Linked DNA regions of Lepisosteus oculatus. The protein of the gene in region 3 purifies or fractionates together with the protein of the main gene of each other region. This does not show direct contact. Links are inferred from orthologs where the notes say so. Each region holds a gene or a part of one and is shown on either strand. Other genes may lie near its edges. The genes, in order: A-kinase anchor protein 8-like, prkacba and cAMP-dependent protein kinase type II-alpha regulatory subunit.

What was found.
Region 1: the proteins of cAMP-dependent protein kinase type II-alpha regulatory subunit (region 3) and A-kinase anchor protein 8-like purify together in Homo sapiens (affinity purification with western blotting; 3 studies listed by BioGRID and IntAct, with this or other methods). This does not show direct contact. The link is inferred for Lepisosteus oculatus from reciprocal best matches to the Homo sapiens genes PRKAR2A and AKAP8.
Region 2: the proteins of cAMP-dependent protein kinase type II-alpha regulatory subunit (region 3) and prkacba purify together in Homo sapiens (affinity purification with mass spectrometry; 6 studies listed by BioGRID and IntAct, counting the BioPlex papers as one, with this or other methods). This does not show direct contact. The link is inferred for Lepisosteus oculatus from reciprocal best matches to the Homo sapiens genes PRKAR2A and PRKACB.

The regions. Positions count from the first base shown.
Region 1 is NC_090706.1:14,032,438-14,042,769, reverse strand, and holds the start of A-kinase anchor protein 8-like, read left to right. Parts: upstream 1-5,793; 5' UTR 5,794-5,808; coding exon 5,809-5,950; intron 5,951-7,993; coding exon 7,994-8,050; intron 8,051-9,559; coding exon 9,560-9,845; intron 9,846-10,332. UniProt on the Homo sapiens protein: Anchoring protein that mediates the subcellular compartmentation of cAMP-dependent protein kinase (PKA type II).
Region 2 is NC_090704.1:23,463,686-23,473,830, forward strand, and holds the start of prkacba (protein kinase, cAMP-dependent, catalytic, beta a), read left to right. Parts: upstream 1-5,508; 5' UTR 5,509-5,582; coding exon 5,583-5,763; intron 5,764-10,145. UniProt on the Homo sapiens protein: Mediates cAMP-dependent signaling triggered by receptor binding to GPCRs.
Region 3 is NC_090699.1:65,619,343-65,629,615, forward strand, and holds the start of cAMP-dependent protein kinase type II-alpha regulatory subunit, read left to right. Parts: upstream 1-5,749; 5' UTR 5,750-7,186; coding exon 7,187-7,424; intron 7,425-10,273. Other genes in the region: slc25a20 (mitochondrial carnitine/acylcarnitine carrier protein), read left to right, coding at 61-165, 1,494-1,586, 1,755-1,882, 2,192-2,282, 2,374-2,491, 2,996-3,068, 3,471-3,580, 3,757-3,881 and 1 more. UniProt on the Homo sapiens protein: Regulatory subunit of the cAMP-dependent protein kinases involved in cAMP signaling in cells. Type II regulatory chains mediate membrane association by binding to anchoring proteins, including the MAP2 kinase.

The DNA.
Region 1 (10,332 bases), on a different chromosome or scaffold from region 3:
AACACCGTCGCCCCCGTCCGATCCAACGATAACGTCACCACTCTCGCCCCCCGTCCGATCCATAAATAACGATAACGTCACCATCGTCGCCCCCCGTCCGATCCAACGACAACGTCACCACAGTCCGATCCATAAATAACGATAACGTCACCACCGTCGCCCCCCGTCAGATCTAACAACGACAACGTCACCACCGTCACCCCCCGTCAGATCTAACAACGACAACATCACCACCGTCACCCCCCGTCCGATCCAACGACAACGTCACCACCGTCACCCCCCGTCAGATCTAACAACGACAACATCACCACCGTCACCCCCCGTCCGATCCAACGACAACGTCACCACCGTCACCCCCCGTCCAATCCATAAATAACGACAACGTCACCACCGTCGCCCCCGTCCGATCCAACAACGACAACGTCACCACCGTCACCCCCCGTCCAATCCATAAATAACGACAACGTCACCACCGTCGCCCCCGTCCGATCCAACAACGACAACGTCACCACCGTCACCCCCGTCCGATCCAACAACGACAACGTCACCACCGTCACCCCCCGTCCAATCCATAAATAACGACAACGTCACCACCGTCACCCCCGTCCGATCCAACAACGACAACGTCACCACCGTCACCCCCCGTCCAATCCATAAATAACGACAACGTCACCACCGTCGCCCCCGTCCGATCCAACAACGACGTCACCACCGTCACCCCCCGTCCAATCCATAAATAACGACAACGTCACCACCGTCGCCCCCGTCCGATCCAACAACGACAACGTCACCACCGTCACCCCCGTCCGATCCAACAACGACAACGTCACCACCGTCACCCCCCGTCCAATCCATAAATAACGACAACGTCACCACCGTCGCCCCCGTCCGATCCAACAACGACAACGTCACCACCGTCACCCCCCGTCCGATCCAATAACAACAACGTCACCACCATCACCCCCCGTCCGATCCAACAACGACAACATCACCACCGTCGCCCCCCCGTCTGATCCAACAACAACGACAATGTCACCACTGTCGCCCCATCTGATCCAACGACAACATCACCACGATCGCCCCCCATGTGATAAAACAACGTTACCACTATCGCCCCCCGTCCGGTCCAACGCCAACAACATTACCTCCGTCATCCCCAGTCCGATCCAACAACGTCACCACCATCGCCCCGTGTCCGATCCAATAACAAAGATGTCACCACCGTTGCCGTTGCCCCCTGTCCAATCCAACAACAACAACAACATCACCCCCCCCGTCTGATCCAACAACAACAACAACAACAACAACAACGTCACCACTATCGCCCCCAGTGTAATCCAACAACAACGACAACGTCAGCACTATCGCCCCCTGTCTGATACAACTACATCACCACCACTATCGCCCCCTGTCTGATACAACATCACGACTGTCGCCCCTCTGTGGCAACACCACCGCCATCGCACCCTGTCCGGCGAGACAAACATCGCCGCCAAAATCGACAAGCGCAGACACAGCAGGAACACCTCCAGCGACAGCAACATGCGATTGGTGAGGACTAGGGGCCGCTCCTCCGGCGGGCCTCGCTCCGATCCCGGAGAGAGGCGCCTTCCCGGCGGGCGAGCGCAGGTCAGACTGTCCTAAATTCGAAGGTGTGTGTGAGTGTTTCTGCACAGTCCGCTGGGAAACAAGTCTCCGCTTTTGTTTTGTTTTTTATATATATATACAGACATTGCGGGAGCCCCCAAGGACTGCCATGCAAGCCAGGGTCTGGCATTACTTAGTAAAATATCCAGGAAAAATTAAAGTCGCTCTTTCTCGACTCGTCCAGCGAGCTAAGCCAAAGCCAAGGCTGTAATCGGGGCTCTAGTCTGGTATAAACAACGCCTGGAGGGAAAAAAAAAAGACAAAACCGCCCGGTTCTGCGCAGGACTGCTAGTTCAGTACTTACGGGAAAAATGGCCTGGTTGCGTTTCAAGGAGTTAACTCCTTGGCCCTTTAAACAACGCCGTGTTGCATGCTGTAATCTTTTTTTTTTTTTGCGTGTGTTATGCGTGCGTTTTCTGTGCGTGTGTGTGTCTCCGTGTCGCTGCTATTTAGCTGTCACTGGGCGCGTTCGGCTGTCCTCGGCTCTTCCCGGATACGAGCGGCGCGACTCCATAATGCTCCCCGCAGGCCCGCCGGGGTGGCGGCGGAGGGGCAGGCATGACCGCAGCGGGCCGCCATCTTGAGTGTGGCAAACCCGGCGCTTCCTCGGAGCGCGGCAAAGGCTCTTTGATTTATTATTAGCAATAATAATAATAATAATAATAATATTAATAATAATAATAATAATAATAATAGCACCTGTAAAAGTGGCTTGTCAAAGCAGTTTGGGATAAGAAAAAAACAAAATGAGAGGAAATCAGTAACCTGAATCAATGAATCCATTAGACCCAGTGTGTGACCACCAGTGAGGAATCAGAGACACTGTGGCCCCACAGTGACAGAGTCTGAGGCCCCTGAGATCCCGGAGTGTTTCCATCCGCGGTCCGCTCCACAGAATCGGACACCTTCCAGCAAGGATACGAACACGTGTTCATCTGTTTATTAAACAGGTCAGAAATACGTGAAAAACTCTGTAAAACGACTTCTCCGGGCTGTCATTTCCAAACGTCTCCTGTGAATGTTCGGACCACCTGCCGACACGTCTGGAAAGTGGACACACTTGTTAAAATGCGTCAGCTGCCTGGCGGTGAAGAAAGAGTTGAATTGTTGTAATAGCCTCGCCAGATCACGTCTCTGCACAGGTGACACTTTCTCTGCGCTGTTTGTGAGAAATGACGTTAAAATATAAGGTTTAAGCCCACAAGGGCTGCAGCTGCAGGCCCAGCACCTAAGAGCCTGAGGGAGGTGTGGGCTTTGTGCAGCCTCTGTGCCCAGCGACCTGACCAGCTTTCCCCCACGCCATACAAACCTCAACACAGCAGCCATATCACCCTGCAACTCACGACTGGCAGTTGGAGCTCAGCAGGTGTGAGTCCGGCCAGTACCTGGGTGGGAGACTCCTGGGATAGCTAAGGCTGCTGCTGGAAGAGGTGTTAGTGGGGCCAGCAGGGGGCGCTCACCCGGCGGTCTGTGTGGGTCCTAATGCCCCAGTATAGTGATGGGGACAGTAAAAAGACGCCGTCCTATGGATGAGATGTAAAAAAATGGGAGTTTCTGTGGTCATTCAAAATCCCAGGGCGTTTCTCAAAAAGAGTAGGGGTGTTAATTCAGTCCTGGCCAAATTATATTAATTAATTAATTAATTAATAATAATTGCTTACACTTATATAGCGCTTTTTCTGGACACTTCTCTCAAAGCGCTTTACAGGTAATGGGGACTCCCCTCCACCACCACCACCAATGTCCAGCATCCAATGTGCAGCATCCTGGATGATGCGACGGCAGCCATAGTGCTCCAGTACACGCACCACACACCAGCTATCAGTGGGGAGGAGAGCAGAGTAATGAAGCCAATTCATAGAGGGGGATTATTAGGAGGCCATGATTGGTAAGGGCCAATGGGGAAATTTGGCCAGGACACCGGGGTTACACCCCTACTCTTTTCGAGAAACACCCTGGGATTTTTAATGACCACAGAGAGTCAGGACCTCAGTTTTACATCTCATCCGAAGGACAGCGCCTGTTTACAGTATAGTGTCCCCATCACTATACTGGGGCATTAGGACCCACATGGACCACAGGGTGAGCGCCCCCTGCTGGCCCCACTAACACCTCTTCCAGCAGAAGCCTTAGTTTTTCCCAGGAGGTCTCCCATCCAGGTACTGACCAGGCTCACACCTGCTTAGCTTCAGTGGGCTGCCAGTTGTGAGTTGCAGGGTGATATGGCTGCTGGGGTCAGTGGCCCCCACTGGCCTCCCAATAACCCCCATCTCTGAACTGGTTTCATCACTCTGTTCTCCTCCCCACTGAGAGCTGGTGTGTGGTGAGAGTATTGGTGCATCATCCAGGTGGGGCTGCACACTGGTGGTGGTGGAGGGGAACCCCATTACCTGTAAAGAGCTTTGAGTGGAGTGTCCAGAAAAGTGCTATAGAAACCTAAGGAGTTGTTGTTGTTGTTATTATTATTATTATTATTATTATTATAACCTTGCGCAGTACAACAGTCATCACTGCTTCCGATTCCGACCACAAAAATCCATCCATACCTTCCCAGACACATCCACCTTTTTGGTCTTTACAACTCCATCCCGGAGGAACTTCCAAATATTTTGAAATGTCTGGTATTTTCCATTCATTCATTTTCCATACACAAAAAAATCTACTATCCCTATCCTCAATGTGAAACAAAAATGCACAAAAGTGCAAATTCACTGCAGAACTAAAGACAAATTTACCTGTGTTTTCAAAGAGGTAGACAAGAATGGCATGCTCAGTGACTGGCATGTAGACCTCATACATATATACTTATAATTGCGATATATTGTTAAAAACATCTTCGAATGTTTGGGGGAGACAGAGCCTATCCCAGCAAGCAACTGGTGCAAAACAGGATACACCCTAGATGGGACGCCAGTCCATCACAGGGCACACAGAGACACTCACACCTGGGCCAACTTTCCCAGAACCCAGCAGCATTTCCTTTGACTGTGGGAGGAAACCCACACGAAAACAGGGAGAACATACAAACTCCACACAGACAGCATCCCAGGAACTGGGCCCAGGACCCCCGCACTGTGAGGCAACAGTCCTGGCCACTGTACCGCTCTATTATGTATACATCACGTACCATTATATAGCGGTAATTAACACGAGTGTCCCCTTGAATGTTCAGAAAAGGAGGGTTTTCGAGAGAGCAAAACGCAAAGAATTGCTGGAAGGGAAATAACTGACTCGGTCCTGAATTTGTACAATCCGTCGCCCCCGCTTACCCTACCGCTTCTGGAAGTCGACCCTAGTCCTGGAGCCCAGACGGTACCGCCTCTTCCCTGGGGGATTCTGGGGTCAGGACGGCGTGGGGGATTAGGGTCTCCAGTTCACCAAACTGAGGGGCCGAGCAGGACGGCGGGAGCTGCCCCAACACCCCAGGCCGTGTGTAAGAGACTCGTCTGTCGCCACGCTCGGCTCGGTGCTGTTCGGGCGATCGCACTGTGCGAGTACAGGAGTCCAGGTTTTAGTTCCGCAGTGAATTTTCCTGTTGATATTGTACATTCAGCGCAATCAGGCGCGGGCAGGTCTGGTGCTGGACTGGCTCCAGGCAGGGAGCTCAGGTTTCAGTTTTAAGACTGCATTCAAATAACGCACTTTATTGGGTGGAAAAGTGATCCGTATGTTCTGATGTGGATTATTTTAAGTAGGGGCGTATAAAACTCACTGAAATAGTACTGACAAGTACTACTTCATCCTGACCTGTTATTACACCCGTCACATTTTTTTTTACAATCCCGTTCTGTGTAAATTAATTCATTAGACGTCTTTTTGCTTGATGAACCCCAAACCTCCTCCTACTTGGTGACTGGAAAAACAGCATCCAATAGGAAAGGCGCGTTACAGGCAGTGGCGCGTTGATTCGACAATGAATACGACCAGCTCCACCAATCAGAGATGAATCCCCCCTCTCCCGCTCTTGACTAACGGGCACATGGTGACTAACAGGAATTCTAACCAATGACAATGCAAGTGAATTGTGATTGACACTAGTATTGGCCAATAGGACAACTCATATGCTCCTTCCTTAAGGCAACGCTTCGTTGACGTTAGCTTCCACCCAATCGCTGCAATCCAGCTGCTGATGTCGTGGATGACTGATGCCTCTACAAACCAATGGGTGATGCTCAGGTCAAGCAGTCGCCCAATGAGATTGTCCCCTGGGCAGGGTTTTTCCGTAGCGGGTTCGCCCCTTCCCAGGCTCTTCGAGTTGGTTCCAATGAGAAGACGGGGAGAATGGATGGCAACGATTACGGAGGTCAGTCAGGAAGAAATGAACCTTTAAGTTGTTTATATTTCTACATTTTTCATAATAATGTAAGGGGTTCCGTGCCTAACACTTAAACACTGCGGTGCGGCTCCCTTGATCAAAATCCATGTCGCAGAAGCTGGTTTTAAACGCAGTGCATTTGCATCTATGGACGTTGTTCGCTTTGCTAGCTACGCACTTATTTTTGTATCTTTTGCTGGTTTCAACAAAAAGAAAACGCTAACCGTCCCCGAAATCGTTGTTCTGTCTGCGTGAGCCCCCCGTATTCCCCGTGCCCCATACCTGTGCTCTCTGTGCTAGTCTGGAACCACGCAGTTCTGTAATGTCGGAACATTTTTATGGTATTGGACCCGAGACGCTTTCAGCCCGGTTAACAGCCCTGCGCAGTGCAGACTGGTGAGGTGTAGGCACCCTGGCAGAAATACAGCGGGGTTCCGGGCGGTTAACGTTGCAGCGTCGATTATTCAGGCTTTTAGTTGTCCGGACGTTGACAGCCGGTTCGAGATCGGAGTCGCGGCTCTGCAGAGTCAATCACGGAGCCAGAATTGGTCACGACTGACCTGCCGAGCGTGCTAACTTGCACAATGATACACTGCACGCATTGAATCGCGTTGATTTTGGGGTTTCTCGTGTCCTGATGTGTGAAAGCAACGCGCTGACGGTACGGACTCGAAAGGAGGCGTGTTGCTGTTGGGGGGGCGGCGGCGGCGGCGGCTTCTGAATACAATTATTATTTTTGCTTTCTTCAACTCCGTTCCTTCGCAGCGTTTGCACCGCGCCGTGCTCGCCAGCAGCACGGAGGCTGTCAGTGTTGTTGTTGTTGCGGAGGGGTGCCGCTGGCGAGCTGCCGGACGGTCGCTGGATTCGCAGCTCGACTCAAAATGGCCGCCTCGCTACCTCTTCTCCTCCTGTCACGTCGTGCGAGAGGCCGGAGCCCTAGTCGCGACGGCTTGTGGGCGAAATAACTGCTCCCTCGAACCCCGGTTTTCCGGTCCAGCCCGGACCCGTGCGGGGCGTTACAGCCGGCCGGGTTGGCGGCGGCCTGTACGTGTCTTTGTGCTGACGGGAGTCCGTGCGGGGGGGGGTGGGGGGGATGGCTTTGCTTAATTTTGGAAAATGGAGGCGAGAGGGCAGCCTGGTCCGAGACCCCAAGACAACAGGGGCTCTGACAGGTCGGGTGCTCGCAGCGTAATCTGTGTCACCCGCAGGGAGGGTGTATGGAAATGTCCGACAGTCTCCCTGTCTGTCTCAAGTAGGGGTGTCTGCAGCTCCGTACCCCATTTCCCAGGAGCGCAAACTCCAGCTTTGATGAAGTAAGCGAGTCACAAATTCATTTAGGATGGCAGGGTAGGGCAGCAGTCCGCACTGCTGCCTCTCAGTCCTGGGGACCTGGGTTCAGTTCCTGGGGTGCTATTTGTGTGGAGTTTGCATGTTCCCACCCGCCATTCACGTGGGCGTCCTCCCACAGTCCAGAGCGATTGCTGGTGGGAAGATTGGTCCTGGTGTGAGTGCGTGTCCAGTGATGGACAGGCGTCCCTTCCAAGGTTTCTCCCTGCCTTGCACCCATTGCTTGCTGGGATAGGCCCGAATTGGAAGAAGTGGTCTGAACAGGGATGGAGAGGTGGGCCTGTCCGATGAGGAACCACAATGAAGGTCACACTGAGGCTGTCCCAAACCTTCGGAAAGGGCGTGATATAATGGTGACCCCCTAAAACCGGCAGAATCGGAGAAGGAGACACCCTTTCCTGTGGTGGGGCCTCGGAGAGGGTTGAGCTGCAGGGGCCAAGAGTGGAGGAAACAGGCTGGTGCTGCTGAGGTGTTCGAAAAGGGATGGATTCAAGAAGTGTTACTGATCCAACACGCAGACGCACCCCTGTGCCTGCGCCGAGCCGGGGTCTGTGTGCGTCTGTGTGCGTCTGTGTGCGTCTGTGTGCGTCTGTGTGCGTCTGTGTGCGTCTGTGCCGGCCTGCTCGTGTGCGCTTTGCGCAGGGGGACAGGCCTCACAGTCCTGTGTGCTGTGCTCTGTTGCAGGCTATGGCTCCTGGAGTACGGCTGCCAGCGTGAGCAGTGCCGAGGTCGGTGCCTCAGGTAAGGTTTCACGACGCCGGCGTGTCCGGTCCTGCCGGGCCGGGCCGAGTCTCCGTTCGGGTTGGTGGGTAAAACCTGAAATGGATCAAACGGCTTTGCGGCAGGAGTCTGATTCTCATCTATAAACAAGATGTGAGATGGATGTGGAAACGGGAAAATGAATCGGTCTCAAAGGGGACTTCCTTCTGATCCACTCCAGGTCTGTAGTGTTGCTAGCAAGATTCTCAGTGCACAGCAGTCTGATCCAGTCCAGGCTTTATTAACATTGCCAGTGGGATTCTGAGTGCTCAGCAGTCTGATCCAGTCCTGCAGAGCGAGAGCGAGGCCTTCACTCACTCACGTCTTTGTGCCGCCGTGGTCGTCGGCGTCGTGCTCCCCGTGGTCCGACGTTGTCACGGGCTGGCCCAGTTTAGCCTGGACGGGACTGGTTTGGCCCTTCTCCGAGCTGGAGCGCAGTGTATCGCTCTCGGAGAGGTGGAAGCGCTGCTGGGTTCTGAGCCGGAATTAGGGTGTTGCAGCGTGATCGACCCTTTTCCCGGGAGAGCTGCCCTCTCTGCGGGGCGCTGTTCCTCCGTTGTGCACCACACTCCAAGCTTTGGAGCTCAAGTACACATGCTCGTCTGTCCAAGGGCCCTGCAGTTGGGAAAAATCCGGACTGCTGCGCTCAGGGACTAGTGGGACAGAACAGTGTTAAACCAGCACTGGATCGGACTGCTGTGTGCTGGGAGTCATGGGCGAGACCAGTGTTGAACCAGCACTGGATCGGACTGCTGTGTGCTGGGAGTCATGAGTGAGACCAGTGTTAAACCAGCACTGGATCGGACTGCTGTGTGCTGGGAGTCATGGGCGAGACCAGTGTTAAACCAGCACTCGATCGGACTGCTGTGTGCTGGGAGTCATGGGCGAGACCAGTGTTAAACCAGCACTGGATCGGACTGCTGTGTGCTGGGAGTCATGGGCGAGACCAGTGTTAAACCAGCACTGGATCGGACTGCTGTGTGCTGGGAGTCATGGGCGAGACCAGTGTTAAACCAGCACTCGATCGGACTGCTGTGTGCTGGGAGTCATGGGCGAGACCAGTGTTAAACCAGCACTGGATCGGACTGCTGTGTGCTGGGAGTCATGGGCGAGACCAGTGTTAAACCAGCACTGGATCGGACTGCTGTGTGCTGGGAGTCATGGGAGAGACCAGTGTTAAACCAGCACTGGATCGGACTGCTGTATGCTGGGAGTCATGGGCGAGACCAGTGTTAAACCAGCACTGGATCGGACTGCTGTGTGCTGGGAGTCATGGGCGAGACCAGTGTTAAACCAGCACTGGATCGGACTGCTGTGTGCTGGGAGTCATGGGCGAGACCAGTGTAAATCGAGCACTGGAACTGCTGTGCCCTGGGAGCCTGTTAGTGGTAACGTTAGGGTGCTGTTGCTCTGTCCGCTGCAGTGGCTATAAGCTGCAGCTCCAGTGCCCGCAGTGCAGGGTTAAGGTCCGGCTGTGTGTGTGTATCCCAGGTTACGAGGGCTACGACTACTTCAACGCGCAGTCTGCAGGAGCTGCTGGCCCCCCCCAGCCCACGGACTCCTACGGCTACGGCGGCTCCTGGGAGGCTCCCCAGGCCGAGTCCGTCCCGGGCTCCGTGAGCACCGGAGAGGGGGACGGGAGCCATGGCGTCTCCGAGGGGTCCACGCCCAAGACGCCCAAGCGCAAGAAAGAGAACCCCGACTCCCTCATCGCCAAGATCAACCAGCGGCTCGACCTGATGTCCCGGGAGGGGTGCGAGGGCGACGGCGATCAGAGGTGAGGCCCGCCGCTGCCTGGGCACTGTGCTGCTCTACAGCCCCTGGTCCTGCGTTTGCTTCTGCATGGGGGCACCGTCTGTGTGGAGTCTGCGCGTTGTCTCCCTCTGGCTGCTCCCGTTTACTCCTGCGGAAGCGCTGACTGAGGCATCTGCGGTCTTCGCTCTGCCCCTGGTGCGCCCCTTGCTGGACGGGCGTCCCGTCCGGGGTCTTGACCCTCCTTGTGCCCGGTACCTGCCGGATGAGGCTGTGGCTCACTGTCTGAGGTGGCTCTGCCTGAAACCGGATGCACGGGTGAGAGGTGCCAGTCGGGCACGCCGCCCCCCGTGAACCCGTTGCCTTCAGGCACACAGCGGGCCCCTGCGAGCCCAGCACTCAGAGGGGTATCCCAGGGGGGTAACTGGGCTGCTGAGCCTGTGAGATCTGCCGCATGGGGAGTCCTGGCCACAGCTGGCTCTCTTTCTGTGTGTCTCTGTGCATTTCTCTCT
Region 2 (10,145 bases), on a different chromosome or scaffold from region 3:
GATGAGACGTAAAACCGAGGTCCTGACTCTCTGTGGTCATTAAAAATCCCAGGGCGTTTCTCGAAAAGAGTAGGGGGTGTAACCCCGGCGTCCTGGCCAAATTTCCCATTGGCCCTTACCAATCATGGCCTCCTAATAATCCGCCTCTATGAATTGGCTACATTACTCTGCTCTCCTCCCCACTGATAGCTGGTGTGTGGTGAGTGTTCTGGTGCACTATGGCTGCCGTCGAATCATCCAGGTGGATGCTGCACATTGGTGGTGGTGGAGGGGAGTCCCCATTACCTGTAAAGCGCTTTGAGTGGAATGTCCAGAAAAGCGCTATATAAGTGTAAGCAATTATTATTATTATTATTATTATTATTATTATTATTATTATTATTATTATTATTATTTGTGTTGTAAAATTTTAACATGACCTGACTGAAATTGAACACTTGTAGCTGTGTTTCATGGTACTTATTGCTTCCCCACATTGTCTAGATGATGAACATTTTGTTTTCACATAGATGTCTAAGCCTTTTTGATAAGCACCTTCTTAAAGCTATTTCCCATCTTAGGCAATGTGAAAATCAATACATATCACATTACATCTACATTATCTTCTGTGTTCTACCAAATAATAATGTTTTTTATATAGTATTTCCTCAACGTGCTTTGCAGGTAAAGCATAAACAAAGACAGGAATTTAAAAAATAGCACGGAGAAACAGAATGGTTTAAGATGCAGCAAAATATGCAAAGGGACAGACAGACCTCAGTTCAATAAAATGTTTATTCAGTCTCAAATTCTGTATTTGCACCTTCTATAGTAGTTGCTGACACTCATTTTTGAGAACAGTGAATGTGATAATTGTTTAAAATCTGTAATTATTTTGTTATCTGGATTCTGGTGTAAATGAGGGGTGGGAAATGCACTTTGAGCATTTACCTATTATCTACAATGTGTTTCATTCATTAGTTTTCAGTCCAAATGCTTGCCTTTCATTGATGTGCACTACTGTCAGTTTGAGAGCGGATCTTTTATAAGGAACAGGGCAGCTGTATGGAGTAGTAGGGTGCTGGACACATATTTGCAAGGTGCTGCGACTATACCCTTGAGCAAGGTATTTCACTGCTCCTGATTGCAACAGTAAAATGTGTAAATATGTGTAAAATGTAAGTTGCTTCTCTCCCCTGTCTGTCTCATGGAGAGCAAGCTGGGGTATGCAAAAATACAAATTCCTAATGCAAGAAATTGTATATGGCCAATAAAGTGATCTTCTGGTAAAAGGTCAGCCAGATAAGTTATCAAAAGCCTTCCAATCTAAATGTATTCTGGCATTTGTCACTAAGGTAGCGCTGCTGTTAGGAAACTGAACATGCTCGGTTCAGTCACAAATAGAACAAGAGTGATTTTGTTTCTGAAGTGTATTGTCCCAGGGAGGAAACACATTTCAGCATTTTCCAGTTGATCTTCAACTCTGCTATTTTGAAACACAAAGATGGGTGTTTATTGTTTCCTTTATGAAACCAAACTTTGGAAAATGGGAGGGATACCCATGCTATAGAAAGAGAGACCATCCTTAACTCCAGATCTGTGAGCTCTCTCTGCACCTTCTTCTGATATGTGAGCAGACACCCATACCGACTGGAGTAACAGGTGGGTTGTCAGCCCACCCCTTTCACCAGGAGCAGCGTGTATGCTCCTTATAAGTTATTTTCTATAGTATAAAAGCTGTCATTGTGATTTAGTGTCATATCCTGTGTTCATGGATAGATTTATAAATACAATAAACAGTAACAGTTCACTACTCAGCTTTTTTTCTTTTTTGTCAAATTTGTTTTAACTGATATTGAAATGTGAGAAAGATAAAAAGCAAGATGTAGAAATGGTAAAGTTAAAAATCACATAACCAGTCCTTGTGTCTTAGAATCTCACCAGTGCAGAATATAGGTTGGGGGAAAATGATAAAAGTAAAAGTGATATTTATTTTACTTAGCCATTCAGTTCTTTATTTTTTGCGGCACCTGCTTAATGTGCTCCTCTAATGAGATTGCTGTATTTTTTCTGCTTCCAAGCCAAATTCGGAATCTTCTTATGTTCTTGTTACATGGGTGTTTGTTTTAATTTCTTCTGTATTAATCAAAACTTTAATACCCCAAAACACCAATAGAGACTGCTGTTATGTAGGAAGCCTCCATTATAACATATTGCATATTGTTGCATATTGTAATAATCCTTACACTTATTAGTGCTTTTCTGGACACTCCACTTAAAGCGCTTTACAGGTCATGAGGACTCTTCTGTACCACCACCAATGTGCAGCCCCACCTGGATGATGCAGTGGCAGCCATAGTGCACCAGTCCGTTCCCCACACATCATGCCATGTATTTTTTTAAAAAACTGTTAATTTGTTATTGTTTTATTAATCTCTGGACTGTCAGGCCCAACTTATCTGATTGTGCATCTTTGTTGAATTTTGGCACGCTGTTCTGGAAGTTAATTAAATAGTTGTCTCACAATTAAAGAAGAGATTAGTTTGCTTGAAATTGTATGTTGAACAGTGTTTTTGAGAACTTGAGAAATTCAGTTAATTTCAGGGAGTTGTTACAGAACTGTCAAATTTCAAACCAAAAATCTTCATATTTCTTACATGTTGTACATCACTTTTAAAACCATTTTTGCAATTCTTTGTTCTTCTTGAGCAACATGAAAGCATAAAGCTTTACTGTTTGCTAGGGATAAAGTGAAATTAGAGATCAGAGATTTTTGGCTGCAAGGGTTGATTATTCAAATTCTATTTTTAATCTTTTTAGTCCTTGTCATATGAAGCCACTAGATGGCACTAGAGTACGTGTAATTGTAAGGAGACTGTGCTGTTGTATTTCTTAGCTAAGTTACGCTGTCATAGGAGAAGTTCAGTAATGTTTGGTTTTCCCATTACACAACCCTCAAAGCCTTGAGTCAGACCTCAAAGATGCCATAAAAATAAGTCCATTATTTCTTGAGGAAACATTAAATTAATTCCCTTTTAGCTGTCTCTTCACAGGATTGCATGTGTGTTCTGTGACTTCAGTAGATGTGTATTTTTGTGTCTCTACTTTTGTTTAATGAAAGCATAAATCTGTTATATGAATAAGACATGATGTACCACCTTAAAAAGACTGAATATAGGAGAATCATTATTCTCATATGTAATTTTAAGATCTTTATTTTTAGGGATAAAAGTACAACAACCGAAGGCAATATTTGTGAATTCTAATGCACAAACTAACTCCTGTACTGTTGTCCTTCCCATCATTACTGTTGATAAGTTTGAAAAACTGTTAGTGCGTCCTTTCTGTCATTTTTGAGGGGCTCTGCTGTTAATGTTATACAGTAATGGATATGAGTAATGTATAGAATAATACTGGCTGAAGGTTTTCTTTTATAAAATAGACTTTGGAGGCAAAGTACTTGCAATACCCACCATTTTCTGTATAGTTGTGCCATAAATGACTTTGATTAAGTCCACTTCCACAGTAGAAATTGGCCATGAGTTTCATTTAGTTAAGCACAATAAATGTGAGTTTTGGACAGGAAAGGCCACGAGTCTACAGCTCACGACTGAGTTTTGTGTATTGCTGCCGTTTGGTCCGAAAGTTATTTTTCTTGAGCCTGTGTTTTGTTTGGGTGAGTGGGGGGGAGGGGTCATACAAGTCACCAAGAAAGTTCAGGTCAGTACTAAGAAACAAGCAGATTCTCTTAGGTGAAATGGTGATTCCCACATGTGCTTGGTCATTTGAAGATGTAGTTCAAGCAGGTAGCTGCGTCAGCATGTGTAGGCTGCAAAGGAACATATTCATCTGAATATGTACCATGTTAATCTGCGGAGTGTACTGCAGTGTGCTACAACTTTCTTAATGTAGGGCATCTTGCAGGAGGGTAGGGCTGTAGAAGCACTGTAAAACTACAGAAAGGAAGGAGTTTACATCAAATCCTCATTGAAAAGCAGTAGATGTACAGTATTAGACTTAAATATCAGAGATCTAATAACATTTTCCAGATCAGATGTTTTTAATTAGTTTTTAAAGAGCTATTTTTTTCCTCAGTATTTTAAAGATTATTGGCTTTGTTTTGTAATGCAAGAAAACATTCGCTGAAGGGAGTTTCTGATGAAAACCACACAAGGAGGAAGTGTGGATTATTAAGATTAGACTGACTGCTTACTGTGTGCTGCTTGCAGCCCATTTTCAGCAGACATCGTAAGATAGACCTTTCAGACTTGAGATTGCCGAGGTTATTGATGACGGCACAGAGATTTGGTTTTAAAGTGTACAAGTCATGCAAGACCTGCCTTTGACTGATGAGAATATTTCATGTTATATACTTGAAGGTTCATGGTATAAATATTCAAGCAATCCTTAGAAAATCTCTCCCACTCCCCACTAATTGAACAAGTTAATCTTGTTTTGTAGCTCTTGACTTCTCTGAAGTTCAAGTTGTTGGATTAAGAGATACAGTAAGTGTTTTGTTTTATACAAGCTAGATGAATAATTATTTTTTTCACTTCACTTTCATTATCAAGAAGAACAATGAGATTTCTCCCTGTGTCAGTCCCTGGTATGGAAGCATAGCATGCTGTTTATGTTATTAAGCAGGCCTGCATCTGATATTGAGTAAAACATCGTTGCACAATCTTGTCATTGCACAATCACAATGTCAGCATGCAAAGTGTGTCTTGTGGACAGGATCAAGTGGGTGACTTTGTAAATGCATAGCAAAAAAAAAACAGGAAAGCAGCAAATAGTACTAAAACAATATTCCTGTTGTACCTAATAAACAGTATGTAAAATATGCCTTAGTATTTGGCTAGCTATATTGGAATCAAAAGTCAGTAACTGACAGGGTATCTGTAAAATGTGTGTAGTCTATTGTATAATAGCGGAGTGCTTTTCAGTGTTCTGAATGGCATTAGTATCTGCCTGCATCTAAAATGTAGACATTTTAATACTGTCAAGACATTTTGATTTTTCTGCTGGGACAGATTTTGATAGCCATTTTAAACGGCAGCTTTGTTTTGGTGCCTCCTACACACTTCCTATTTTGTTGTCTTCTTTTCGTGGTTCCAATTTACTGCGTGCTTCCAAGCCATAGTACCTTACAAAAACCTGAGGAATGTGTCATGAAAATTCCAGTTCTGTAGCTGAAAACCAGTTGCATTCTTGTACTTTTCACAGGATGGCATAGTCACAGTGGAATAACATACTGGAGAGCGGTATGGAAAAAAAAACTTGTATATGAAAGTGGACTATTTTTGGAATGTTAATAGCAACAAATCAGATTATAACACTGAACAAATACAGGAGACTTCACTTGCGTATCAAGTGAACGTTACATACTGCCATATTTATTACTTGTCTAGAACCTTTTTGAAAAGAAATTAAGCATATTATCTCTGACAGGAAGCAAAACCAATTCAGCATGCGGTAAGCCAAGTAGCAGCACAGTGCTTGCAAACAGGAAGCTTGTATCGCGCTCCTGTGAGTCAGAACAGAAACTTTGAGTTACCTTTGCACTGCAGTTGCTCAGTGTTGCTAAACACTGTCAGAGCTGTGGAATGGCTTTAGCGAAGGAGCTGCAGTGCAACCAGTGCACAGGCACCAGTTCAGGTCGTCACAAACTGGAAGATTTGGCCAGCCGTATTTTTCACCGACACCGCAAGGGGACCCAGGAGCAGAAGGCTTCAGAAAACGAGGGGCCGCATGTCTCGGAGTTCACCATATGTTGGGACAGATGGAGTAAGTGCCAGAATCTCAGAATTGATCAGACAAGTTGCAGCTCGCATGTAGCAAATAATTCTGAACTTCTTTTGTCGGCAGACTGTTCCATTGGAATAGACTTCTGTAAAATTGAGCTAAAAATATTTGATCTCTGAAACGTGTTGAAAAGAAATGTCTGGTCCTTTTATTTTTTTTTCTTGAAGTGGTATCATGAATTCTGTTAGAAGTTATTTTGAGTAAAGATGTTCCCAAGAAGTATACATTAAGACAGAGTGTTACTAATCTTGCTTTTCAGGACAGTAGGTTTTTCATTTGATCTATTTAATCTACTTAAAGAAGACAGCCGTCTTTTAACTTATTTGTATGTGTAATTTGTACAAACTCACCAACTGTTTCTTGTGATTCCGCTGTTAGAAACGGTTAAGTTTGTGATAGAATAACTTAAGGCGTTTGCAGATCAGTTTGCCAGAAAGATTAGAAGTCCTTTTATCGCTTTTTTAGAATAATCATTCCTACGTTAATGTAAAGACATGTCCTGCCAAAGCTCTTTGCTAATGTTAGTTGTGTCATTTTAATGTAAAGGAGAAATAACACCTTTTTACACCCCAAAGCTAGTTTTTTTTTCGATTTATAAATGTGGAAGTATGCGTCTTATCAGTATTTCAGACTTACGTGCAGCACTATCCTTGATAGTGTTGACTGTGTTAAGCTGCTGTTGCACTGCAATTTCCCTCATGGGATCAATAAAGTATCTATCTGTACTGACGGATCACTACAGTTCTGTCAAAAAGTATTTGCCCGCTTTCAGATTTTCAGAATTTTTGCACCATTTGACTATTATGTGAGCCTTTAAGGGTCCTAGTGATGTATAAAGCAAACCTGAGTGAACAGATAACTCCAAAATAGGGTGCTTGTTTAATTTATTCTGTAAACAGTCATCCACCATCCAATGTCCCCATGTGAAAATGGTTATGCCTCCCTAGTTCAGTCAAGTCAATGAAAGGGTTAGCTAGGGCTAGCTGTGTGAATACCTTATTATATACCTTATTTGGGCCAGCCCTGTTCTATTTAAAACTCACAAACCTTGGCTTTTATCATTACAGTGAAGTTCTTTTGATGCTTGTCAGTCTGGAAAAGGTTACAAAACCATTTCAAAAGCTATGGGACTCCACTGATCCACAGTTGAAAAGGAGACGATTTGGGACACTATTCCCAAGCGCAGCATAAAATCATCAAGGAAGTCGCCAAAAATCTCCAGAACAACATCCAAGCATCTGCAGGCCTCTCTCACTTTGACTAAAGTCGATGTTCCTGACTCTACCATCAGAAAAGCATTGGGTAAAAATGGAATTTCACTGAAGAGCAGCAAGGTGAAAACCATTGCTCATTAAGAAGAACATTGATGCTTGTCCACTAAAGCACCTGGATGACCACCCAGGCTTCTGGAGGAATGTTCAATGGATAGATTAGTCAAAAGAAGATCCTTTTAGGCAACATGGGTGCCTTTATATCTGGTAAAAAGTCAAAACTGCGTTCCACAGTAAGAACCTTATACCAGTTGTCAAGCATGGTGGTAGTTGTGTCATGGTTTAGGGATGTTTCGCTACCTCAGGACCTGGATGATACATGTTCTTTGTATTGGAGCATATCAGACTATCTTGCCAGTTGAGGAGCAGTTGGGTCATGCAACAAGACAATGATACCAAATATACAAACAAGTCTATAAGAGGATGGATGAAGAAGAACAAATTCAGTGTTTTAGAATGACCAAGACAAAGTCCAGACATAAACACCATTGAAATGTTGTGTCGAACAAGCAGTTTATGCTAGAAAACCCTCATATTACTGAGTTCAAGGAGGAATGGGCCAGAACTCCTGCACAGCGATGTGAGAGACCGATAAGCAATTACAAAAAGGGTTTGGTCACAGTTATTGCAGCTAAAGATGATGCAACCAGTTACTGAAGCTAACTTTTTCACACAGGGACTTAGGATGTTAGATTACTGTTAACGAAATAAGTGAAGCAGCAAATTGTGGTGTTATTTGTTCACTTAAATTCCCGTTTATAAATCACGTGATGCTCTGATAATATTCACAGCTACTACTGAAAATATTCAACAATTCTGAAAAACTGAAATTTTTTTTTTACAGAATTGTAACTATGACTATACCAATTGATTGGTTGCGAAGGAAATGCCACTTCTTGAAAAATAAAAAAATGCTGTTTTGGTTGCATTCTACACTTAACCTATGGCTTACAATTAATTTTAGTGTGAAACTAAATCAGAGAAAATAGTGTTCACTTCTGCTCGTTATATACTGCAAGTTGAATAAATGATACCTGGATCAAAAAACAAATATCATGCAACAGGACACCAAAACAGAACATATTGGGAATAATCGGCTCAATGATAATAAATGCTTGTTTTTCTATATGGCTTTTAACCTCTATAAGACCCTGAAGTACATTACATATAAGAAGGGATTCACTTCATCCTCCGATGAAGTACAACACCTTCCAGAGTGACATTTGGCAGTCATTATGTGCCAGCAGCCCTACTGGAGGTTAGTAAACAGTCAAAAAATATTTAACCAGTTGATTTAAGGGAGAAACCTCAAATTGGAGTTCACCCTAGGGTCCTAGCTAAATACTCTTACGAACTGGCAGAGGATTTTTAATTATAAAGTAGTCGCTACAGACGCAGTAGTGTTATGGCTCTATAAGGTGTCACAAGTATTTAAGAGGAAGACTTGCATGATGCCTGATTTTCTGCTACAAGAATACTATTTTCCTAAAACGTTTATGTATATAATGTTATTAAAAGGCATGTGCTAATAGCACAGTAATACGTGTGGAACTGGACATTACATTGTAGTGTTGTTAATACATAACTGAATTGCACCATTTTGTATATATAAGAACAGCTTTATTTTCTGTTGTATGCAAAATGGTGGAAGGTGACAGGTCTTTTGCTCTGACAAACTTCACAGTCTTACAGCTTCAGCAAAACAAATCAACGCAGTTTTGATCATGATGAAGTGATACTGTAAACTGATGGATCATTGCATCATCAGATTTTCTTAGAGATGGATTTTTGCTGATTTGTTAAAACTAGTAAACTAAAACAAATAGTTATATGGTATAGAGAATCAGTAATTGAATTAGATGATAAACTAGAATATAAAATAGAATATGTTAGTAATGCTTAAAATAGCTAAAACAAATTAAAATTCCACATGCAAACAGTTTTTCCTGGTCTTTTACATGCTTTGATCCTAATCATTGCCATGTAAAGGAGCAATAGTTTTAATCATATTTATTAAAAATATGTATTTTCTAGGATAGGAGTCTTCTATTAAGGAAGCATTTCCCAATATGGCATGGAGGAAAAGGTCGATTTTTCAGTTGCATGACTATTAACAGAATGTAAAAATACCAAAAGTGTAGGTGTAATGATTGCTGTACATGCCAGAAACAAATGACTAAAAAATAATGCCAAGTATTTTGAATAATCTTATACTTCTACAGCAGAGCCAGAATGTGGTACATTTGGAGTTTCATATTCTCTAATAATTAATGTGTGAAAGTGCCACTTTTATCATGTTTTTTTTCCAGTGTATTCACTTGTATCTTGTAAAGTGGTTTAGAAATGTTGCAACGGTTTCAGTGGTATTGCTAAAGCATTGCATTGTGCCAGCCTTTTAACCTAACTCTGATAAACAAGGTTTTAGGAGTCCATACTAAAAGAGTGTAATTTAGACAAGGGCTATATGAGATGAAAAGAAATGGAATCAAAATATTCCAGTTTGGTGAAAGTGTCCACAACAGATAAATATGGCAGGAAGTTGTGGATAATTACTGTACAATTTTAATTCAACATATCCTTCAAAAGAACAACAATGATTGTTGTTTGTGTTAGTCTATACAGATTTTGTCCCCATATGAATAGTCTAAAAAGTGACATCACAGAAAATGTGGCCTTACTGTATAAACGCAAGCAACATAAAAATGGGAGGCAAGTGTTCCGTGGTTATATATCGGTTTGTAGACTTGCAGGTCCAGTTTGTAATTTAGCTAGTGTGTATTTTCACATGCAAAAAATCATGACGCATTCTCCTTAGCACATTATAGTTTTACCATGCATTTAATATGAAATGATTGGCAAGCTAGAAGTAACTAACTGTCTTGCAACAGATTCATTTGTTAAAGCTGGCCAATGTCCTTTCATACAACAACCCCTTTAATTTTAGTTTTTTTTAGAATCATTTTATAATTGTCTCAATCAACAGTGTAATCATATGACCAAATGACTTCAGGTTGCTGATTAAAAAAAACAGTTTCCACTGTCTCTTCTGTGACGTCTGGTAACATTAGTGAGGTGCTCATACTAAGCATCACT
Region 3 (10,273 bases):
AAATTGTTTTGTTTTAAGTTTTGTTATCAACCTGCAAGAGCTTGTACTGTCCTCCCAGCCATGTCCAAACAGCAGCAGCCGATCAGCCCGCTGAAGAATTTCTTCGCTGGGGGCTTCGGGGGCGTGTGTCTCGTGTTCGCGGGGCACCCCCTGGACACGATCAAGGTAAACTTCACGGGGGGTCACGGGGGACCCGAGCGACTCGCCTCGTGTTTGTTCTGCATGTGTTTCTGACACCGCTGGGACACTTAAGTTGAATGTTCTTAAATGCTTATTGTGATCTAGAGTGGATTTTTACTTCTTAGTATTTTATGTTGGGAAATGGTGTTTCCTCTTATTTACTGGACACGTATCGCCCCACTTTCTGCATCTTTGGGGACACGCTGGACGCGCATACTGTGAACCCCGGAGCTGTCGGGGTCGCAGGACGTGTTTTTCTAACTCCTCAGCCTCGGAGGGGTGGACTTCGGACTCGCTGAGCGCTGCGACCGGAATATTTAGGGAGTCGCATGCCCCGCATGCCCGCACAGTAGCCGGCGATGTTGGTATTGTGATTATTTGTAACGCGCCTTCACGTCCCTCAGTCGTTTGGAACGAGACAGTATTATAAATGATTATAGTTGGTGTCGCGGTCCCACTCAGATAGTGCACGCTGTGACCTTTACCCCAGTTTCATATCTAACCCATAGGATAAAGAAACGACTTCCCACGTCACTCTCGTCGCCAGGGGGTTGGAGATGAGCCTGTGATCTGCAAGCTCAGGTCTCCCTAACAGCTTGCCAAGCAGACAGTGCGGCTCCCGTTGCATAGCGGACCGATCCGCTCCGGGTTTTACTACCTACGGGGCTCTTCGATACAAGCCAGAACTGGGTGCAAGAGATTTCGAGTTTGACCTTTTTTTGACTGCATGTGTATGGTCAAAACAAGGTGAAATAATAAAGGCCTTATCCGTCCATTTTCTGACCAATTCAGGGTCGCAGGGGGGCCAGAGTCTATCCCAGCAAGCAACGGGCACAAGGCAGGGTACACCCTGGACGAGACGCCAGTCCATCACAGGGCACACACACTCATACTCATACTCACACTCACACTCACACTTACTCACACACACACACACACTCACACTCACACAGACACACTCACACAAGGGCCAGTTTTCCCAGAAGCCAGTTGACCCCCCCAGCATGTCTTTAATCTGTGGGAGGACACCCACACAAACGCGGGGAGAACATGCAAACTCCACACAGACAGCACCCCAGGTCTGGAATGGAACCCGGGGCCCCAGCGCTGTGACCACTGCGCCGCCACGCCGCCCGGGCCTTTAAAAAAAAGTGGTAAAATGTTCTAAAAAATGCACCTTCAGCCCTGAGCGCTGCCGTGTCTCCCCGGCAGGCGGAATCGCTGCAGCTGGGGTGCTGAGGGGGGGGGTCAGATCTCTCTCTCTCTCAGTCTAACCCCCCCCCCCCCCCGTCCTGTCTCCATCTCTCCTGCAGGTGCGTTTGCAGACGCAGCCCAAGCCGAGCCCTGGCCAGACACCCCAGTATAAAGGCACGTTTGACTGCTTCAGGAAGACCTTCGTCAAAGAGGTGTGGGGGCTGGAGACCCTTACCTGGGGGGGGGGGCAGGAGGGTGAAGGAGATAAAGGGGGGTTGAAAGTGTGGCTGGTAAGAGAGCATGTGGGGCGTTAGACACCCCTTGTTAGGTTTAATCATTATCTGTCTCTTCCCCTGTTCCTCTGTCCTTCTCTCTCGCAGGGGGTGCGGGGGCTGTATAAGGGGATGGCTGCCCCAATCGTGGGGGTGACCCCCATGTTTGCCGTCTGCTTTTTCGGCTTTGGCCTCGGCAAGAAATTGCAGCAGAGGAGCCCCGATGATGTGCTGACGTGAGTGAGACCCCAAAGCTCCCCCCATAAATTCACCACAGAGCTTTGCGTAGTGCACCCCAGGAGTATTTGCGAGCGACGCTCTGTAAACCCAAATATGTGCCTGAACTTCTTTGTCCTCTTGTCTCCCTTAACTCTTTCATTCCCCATCCCTCCCTCTCTTTCCTGGTTCACTCCCTCTTCCATGTTGTCCAACTCTCTTTTCCTTCTCCCCGCCCCTTCCTGCCTTCTCCCCGCCCCTTCCTGCCTTCTTCCCCCCTTCTCCCCGCCTCTTCCTGTCTCCTCTCCATCCTCTGCCCTCTCTCTCAGGTATCCCCAGCTCTTCGCAGCGGGAATGCTGTCGGGAGTCTTCACCACTGCCATCATGGCTCCTGGAGAGAGGATCAAGTGCCTCCTGCAGGTCAGGGCCGTGCCCCACGGGTGTGAGGCTGGGTTTGAGCCGAGAGCGCTGTGTGGTTGAGTGACAGCGGGTTTACTCTGTGGCCCTGCAGATCCAGGCAGCCTCGGGGGAGGTGAAGTACGCCGGGCCGCTGGACTGCGTGAAGCAGCTGTACAGAGAGAGCGGATTGAGGGGCGTCTACAAGGGCACGGTGCTCACTCTCATGAGAGGTACTGACGAGGGAGGGCCCTGGGAGACCCACTGGGAGACCCACTGGGAGACCCACTGGGAGACCCACTGACCCATTGGGAGACCCATTGGGAGACCCACTGACCCATTGGGAGACCCATTGGGAGACCCATTGGGAGACCCACTGACCCACTGGGAGACCCGTTGGGAGACCCACTGACCCATTGGGAGACCCATTGGGAGACCCATTGGGAGACCCACTGGGAGAGAGACTCTAGCACTGAGAGAGACACTGAGAGACACACTGAGAGAGACACTGGGAGAGACACTGAGAGAGAGAGAGAACGTATTTGTTTTTTTTTTGTTATACGTCATTTAATTTGTTGTTGCTGCTGCTGTTCTGTCTTTATCTTTTGGGCGATTCCTTTGATGTCTGTGTATAGGAGCGAACGTGCAAATAAGCATTTCATTGCGCCTGTGTGTATGACAAACGAACCGAACCGCGAGACTGAGACCCTGATACCGGCGCTGTCTCCCTCTCTCAGACGTGCCGGCCAGCGGGATGTACTTCATGACGTACGAGTGGCTGAAGCACATCCTGACTCCCGAGGGCAAAAGGTCAGCGCCCGTGCCCGTCTCTCTGCAGCCGCGCGGGGGGCTGGTCAGCAGTGCCCCTGACCGGGGGGGGGGCTCATTGACCCCCCCCCAGAGACGACACAAGTGTCCCGGGCACCGCTGGGGGCTGGGGGTGTGATATCCAACCGCTGGGCCCAGAGCCCCAACATGCAGTTCTCTGGTCACCGCTGGCCCAGATGTGGCCGGGGACCCGCGGGCCTGACCGGGTCGGTCAGGGGGCGTGTGCCTGGGGGGCCCGCCGCCACCTGGCGATCTGGGGCTACTATAATCGTACGTTTGGATCGGGGTGCGTTCGGGCTCTCGAAACCAGGCCGGCTGAACAGAACGGGGAGGAGAGCTGGCCCACTGACCCCCCCCCTCTCCCCTCCTCTCCTCTCTCTCCAGTCCCAACGAGCTCAGCGTCCCCAGCGTGCTGTTTGCCGGGGGCATGGCGGGCATCTTCAACTGGGCAGTGGCCATCCCCCCGGACGTGCTGAAGTCCCGGTACCAGACCGGTGAGACGGGTCGTGGGCCGGTGGAGGGAGGGGTGGGGGAGAACAAGAAGGGGTCTCTCTCTCTGCTCAGGGGTCAGGAGGGGGTGGAGAACAGAACAGTCCACTGAACTCTGACTGGGGGGGGAGAGGAGGGAGGGGTGTGCACTGACCCGGTCCCTCTGCCCCTCTGTCCGCAGCGCCGGAGGGCCGGTACCCACATGGTTTCCGGGACGTCCTGAGAGAGCTGCTCCGCGAGGAGGGCGTGGCCTCGCTGTACAAGGGCTTCACTGCTGTCATGCTGCGTGCCTTCCCTGCCAACGCTGTGAGTCTCTCTGGCCAGACTGGGGCCACTGAGCCTGTCCTCTCTGGGCAGCCAGGTCTGCCTGTGTCCAGTGTCTGTGTCCAGACTGTGGCCACTGAGCCTGTCCTCTCCGGACAGCCAGGTCTGCCTGTGTCCAGGCTGTGGTCACTGAGCCTGTCCTCTCTGGGTGGCCAGGGACTTTCCCAGTTCTGTTGAATGCATATGGACAGTGTTTCATGTGTATAAACCTGCTGAATGAGTGTTCTCCTGGTATAAATCTATCTCCCCCTTTCTCTCCCTCGCTCCCTCGCTCTCTCAGGCCTGTTTCCTGGGGTTCGAGGTGGCCATGAAGTTTCTCAACTGGATCGCTCCCAGCTTGTGAGCGCCGCCCTGCTCTGCCCTTTGGGGCAGCTGGAGGTCAGGACACAGACGCACCTGTGGAGAGAGGGACAAGAGCCAGACCTTTGCAGTCCTCGGCTGCAATATCTTTTTGATTGTTCTCGTTTTTCATTCGAAATTGCCTGTTTTTTTTTTTAACGATGGCCTTTAACTGAGACTAAAAAAAATGATTTAGAACACTTTGCCTTAAAAACCTTCCTGAATGTCAAGCAAGCAGTGCGCTAAAATACAGGGAATACCAGTGTGTGTATATAGAATATATACTGTACACCTGTATATATGTGTATATGTACATGCCCTCCAGTGTGTGTGGAGAGGAACATTTATTGACCCTTCTAAGCTACAGTTCTGACTCTGGTTTAAACCCAGTTATCAAACGAGCCTGACCCCAGCACTTGTGTGTATTTGGTTGTGTTTGTGTTATTCTGCCTTTATGTAGCTGCCACTTTTTATCCAAGGTGCTAACTGGACGATGAATGCGCTTGCACTACAGGAAGCAGGGCAGTAGGTTTGCCTAACAGCATCTTAGAAAGAAAGTCCTCTAACCCGATCGCAGTACGAGGCGAGCCGCTGCAGCCGTGAAAGAGCAAGGGGCAGGTTAACGTGTCTGAACACGAGGGTGCAGCACCAGGAGTGGCCACCAGAGGGAGCCCTGCGCACACGATGCACCCCCGGACCTGGGACCTCTAGCGCAGCGTGGGATAGCCCACCGATGTGCACGGTCAGCCGCATTAACAGTGACCCGCTGCGCGGAGTTCACCGTCTGGTACCGGCCCACCTAATCAGATACGAAAATAGAACGGCTTTAATTACCAGGATTTCAGACAAAGCCGACTGGGTCACGAGGGATTTACGCAATGTTACGAAATGGGGTTAAAGGAAAGGAGGCGATGATCGATCCCAGCGCACCCAAGAAGAGTGAAAACGAAACGCTGGCGTGCGCGAATGATGCACCCTGTACCTTACGCCGCAGACCTGCCCCGTGCTAAAGCCTTCGGGCGGGCGTATGCTAACGAGCTTTGGAAATGCCGTTAGTTACTGGCCAAGCGGTGCAATCGGGATCCAGCTTATCGATCACGCTTGATCAATCGGAGTGCTCCCTGCTTTGCCAGGCGCGGTGTCAAACACACCTCCAGCCCCTCCCGCGTTCTCGGCTTCCCCTTTCGTGACGTCTCCTCCCTGCCTGGCCTTCCCATTGGCTGCGCCGCCGCCGCCGCCTTACCTCGTTTCCGATTGGCCCTCTGTTACACAAGGCCCCCCTCACTCGCCCGCCCCCCGCCTCCGCTCATTGGTCCCTTCCGATTCCGCCACCGGGGCCCCATTCCCTCCCCTCCCGCGCGCGCGGGGCGATAACGCCTACTCCATGCCCAAATAAGGGAAAATTCTTGGCGTCGGCTTGGCCGGGCCGGCTCCTGATTGGCGGGTAGGCACGTCGCTCAGCGGCTTCGCCCGGGCCCCTCCTCCTCCTCACTGCCGCTTCTGCAGCTCCGGCCGAGGAGAGCGAGGGTCTCGCCGGCAGCGGCACAGCGAGGGAGACGCGGAGAGAGCGGGAGACGACTGTAAATATCAACAAGCGGATAATTCGTGTTCGAGTAACTGACTCAAGAAGAAGCCGGGCACGCCGGGGACTCCTGTCCCGGGAGGAGGAGGGGGGACAAAAGTCGGGTTTTGGTCGGCGGCGGCAGCAGCAGCAGAGGGACGCTCAGAGGGACAGACAGCCCGAGCCGCAGCCAAGGGTTTATCTTGACTTTTGGACTGACGCCTTTTTTTTTTTCCTCTCCTCCTTGTGACTTTGCTGTATTTTGTTTTTTTTTTAAAAAAAGAGAAAGCCACCCGCTCTTCGGGAGCTCCCGCGTCCCCCTTTCTCCCTCTGTTGGCGGTGCGGAGCGCAGAGGCGGGCGGGCCGGTCCAGGCGGAGCGGGGTGGACGGCGCTCGCAGCCCCGGCCGGCCTGCTCCTCCCCGGTCTCGGCCCTTCATGGTCCCCGGCGGCCCGGGCGCTCGTCACGGGCCAGGCAGCGAGGGGGCGCCCCGGAGGAAGGGGAGGTAGACGGGGAGACCCGCAGAGGAGGCTGTCGAGCCGGGGAGTTACCTCGCAGCCTCGCCCGAAGGGGCTGGTCGCCGCCGCCGGACCGGAGACGCGGGCGGATAGATCGAGAGATAAATAAAGCCCACAGCCTCACGACAAGCCCGGAGCGGTGAAGTCGGCGGGGTCCCCCATACCCCCCAAAAAAAAAAAAAACCTGCCCTCCAGCCGGGGCGGTTTACGCGCGCGCGAGCCGAACGTTTGTTTTTTTTTTCATTTAAAAAAAAAACTTTTCCTCGCCTCGAGCGCACGGGGGGGGAAGGGCTCGAGCGGGGCCTTAACCCGACCCGGCCACGAGCCAGCCGCGCCGGGGTTCGTAAACACCGCCGGTTCCGCACGGAGCGGCCCGGGCTGCTCGTCTGCGTGTTCCTCCTCCTCCTCCTCCCCGAATAAACCAGCGGGTCTGAGCCGCCGCCGCCGCTTCAGGAGGATCTGTGCGATTTGGAGCTGTCAGAAAACACGTCCCCGCGTGTCTGTGTGCAGCTGCTCCCCACGACAGAGTATTCCCACTCGTGTGTGCATCGTGTAATCGGCTTGCCGTACGCGTGCTCGTGTTACGTTAGGTATTATTTCCCAGTCAGGGGGCACCGTGTTGTGTTATTTTTTTTCTCCCCTCTCTCGTATTGCATGCACTTCAGTTTCAACAACAACAGAAAAAAAAAATATTTTTTCCCGACCCCGCCCCCCCCCCTTCATTCCTGCGCTATTTTAAAACGCTTTGTTTTTTTTTAAATCAAACAAAAGCTGACCCGACCCCTCCTCCAGACCCCCACATACACACTCGCACACCCTCCTCTGAGGGGTGAGTTCACAGGGGAACGAAAATAAACCACAGGCAGCGCCATGAGCATCGAGATCCCGGCCGGCCTGACGGAGCTGCTGCAGGGCTACACCGTGGAGGTGCTGCGGCAGAGGCCGCCGGACCTGGTGGAGTTCGCGGTGCAGTACTTCACCCGCCTGCGGGACGGCCGGGCCGGCAGGGCCCCCGCCAAGGCCGTGCTGTTCGACGGCGAGCCCATGCAGACCGAGTCCAACGGGGACGAGGGCGAGGAAGACGACGACGACGACTCCGACTTCGAGCGTGAGTAGCGCCGCGTCCTGCGGGATCGTGGCCGGCGTGCCTGGGCGTGGATTGAGTCGGCGAGCGGATGGGCTTGTTTGGGTTCCTTGGGTATCGAGGGGGTTAACGAGCCTCCATAGGTGCGCGTCAGGTCAGGGGGGGGTGAGTCGTGTGTCGCCCCTCCACAGAGCGAAGTCGAGCTGAGGTGCACGGGTCTCTCCTCATTCCGCGCAGTCCCAGCTCAACAGGTCGTGCCCCACCCCCCTCACACTGGCGTGGACCCAGTACCTGACATCTCCCCCCCGCGCGTTGAAACCGTGAGAGCGGTCCACGCGGGTGCGAGACGAGCTCCGAGCACGCCCGCCCCCCCGCTGCTGATGATGAGCCGTGTCAGTGGGCTGGCCCAGTCTCGGCACCGGTCACTGACAGCGGCGCACCTGTGTGCTGAGAGAGAGTCTCCCACTCCTGCGCAGGTGTGATGATGGTGATGCTCCTCTGAGCCCGGCTGGGTTTCTCTTACTGGCGGAGAGGGTCTGTGTGGGTCCGGTGACCAAGGTCTGAAGTCATGGAGGAGCTGGGCCACTGTCACTCTGCTCTTTAAACAGGCCTGTCCCTTCAGCCCTGGTCTCAGTGGTCAGTGTGTGAGGGGTGTGAAAATGAGCCTGTGTGAGAATCCGTCAGTCTGCCAAGCTCCTCGTCTGGGCTGCTGGTGTGATCGAGCGATGGCTTCTGTGTGACTGGAGGGCAGCTCTAGAGTGGGGGCTGAAAGCCTGGGAGAGCTCGGCACCAGCAGTCTGTCAGCAGAGTTTCCTTGTGTTGTGTTGGAAGAACAAATGTTTGCCGAAGGGCCTTGGGAGTTTTTTTTTCTTCAGCTGAGCAAGATCCCTATGAGCTGTGTGTGTGTGCGTGCGCGCGCGCGCGTGAGAGAGAGAGAGGTGCTGCAAAATGAGCTCTCAAGATGTTTTTGAACTTTGTCGACACGAGTGAGACAAGTTGCAAAACCAAAATTAGCACTGGGTGCCACCGAGCTGAATTGAAGCGAATGGTTGGGGGACAACCGGTGGGGTGTTGGCTGCAGAATCCGGAGCTGTGCAGCGGCCTGAGGGACAGTGACCAGACAGGGCCCACTGCACTTCGGAGACCGGGCTGAGAGAGACGGGGAGGCATCTGTATCCTGGCGCGTTGGTCTTGGTCATGTGTCGTGTGTATACGTTTACTGTGCTGTATATACCAGTACACTTGCTGCTTGGCACTGGTGATATACAGTTCTTGGTTTTATCCACTTTTTTGTGTTTGGGATCTTATTTTAGGTTTATTTTTAGCTACAGTCCCAGAGAGAGAGGCTTGAGTCTTGAGTGAGATGGTGAAAAGCAGAGAGGTGGCGCTCGAGGTGGAAGGGGAGCGATTTGGGCAGGAGAGAGGGAAGGGGACAGACAGAAGTCGGCTTCCTGCAGATTTCTCTTGAAGTTACTCTCCATCACGTGACTGTTTTTTCTTAATTTGTTTCTGCGCAGTGGGTCGTCGATGTCTTAGTCTCTCTTTGTGGCCAGCCATCAGGCGAAATTGATTTTGCGACGTCTGGTTTATCGCTCTGTTTTCATTGTGCGCTGTGTAACAGTGGGTGAGGTGCTGTGCTGGTCACTGTTGCGCCTTGGTAATACTGCGGTCAGCCAGGCCAGCACAGCACAGCTCTCCGCTCCCAGTCACACTGGAAACCCCGCGAGGCGGCAGGAGAAGTAAAACGCGGCACTCCCCTGCTTTGCTAAGAAAGAGGAAGAGGCTGTTCTGACACAGGTGTGTTACTCTCCGTCTTCCTCACTCTGCCTCCTGTGTGGAAGCAGTGACATCCGCTCTGTTCCCGCTGAACGGCAGACAGGTGGACGGTGCGTCACGGGAGACTGAAAAAGATCAGGGTCCCCAGCTGCTGTTTCTCCTCTTCCTCAGAAGAGGCTGCTCTTCTCTGGGCGGAGAGAGGGAGGGGTCTTCTACCCCCCCGTGGGGCGGAGAGAGGGAGGGGTCTTCTACCCCCCCATGGGGTGGAGAGAGCGAGAGTGGAGGGGTCTTCTACCCCCCCCGTGGGGCGGAGAGTGGGAGGGGTCTTCTACCCCCCCCGTGGGGCGGAGAGTGGGAGGGGTCTTCTACCCCCCCCCGTGGGGCGGAGAGTGGGAGGGGTCTTCTACCCCCCCCCCCCGTGGGGCGGAGAGTGGGAGGGGTCTTCTACCCCCCCGTGGGGCGGAGAGAGGAGGGGTCTTCTACCCCCCCGTGGGGCGGAGAGTGGGGGGGGTCTTCTCCCCCCCCGTGGGGCGGAGAGTGGGGGGGTCTTCTACCCCCCCCGTGGGGCGGAGAGTGGGGGGGTCTTCTACCCCCCCCGTGGGGCGGAGAGTGGGAGGGGTCTTCTACCCCCCCCCGTGGGGCGGAGAGTGGGAGGGGTCTTCTACCCCCCCCGTGGGGCGGAGAGTGGGAGGGGTCTTCTACCCCCCCCCCCCCCCCCCCCGTGGGGCAGAGAGTGGGAGGGGTCTTCTACCCCCCCCCCCCGTGGGGCGGAGAGAGGAGGGGTCTTCTACCCCCCCGTGGGGCGGAGAGAGGAGGGGTCTTCTACCCCCCCGTGGGGCGGAGAGTGGGGGGGGTCTTCTCCCCCCCCGTGGGGCGGAGAGTGGGGGGGTCTTCTCCCCCCCCCCCCCCCCCGTGGGGCGGAGACAGAGGGAGAGAGGAGGGGTCTTCTACCCCCCGGGGGGCAGAGAGAGGAGGGGTCTTCTACCCCCCGGGGGACAGAGAGAGGAGGGGTCTTCTACCCCCCGTGGGGCGGAGACGGAGGGAGAGAGGAGGGGTCTTCTACCCCCCGTGGGGCGGAGGGAGCGAGAGTGAAGATG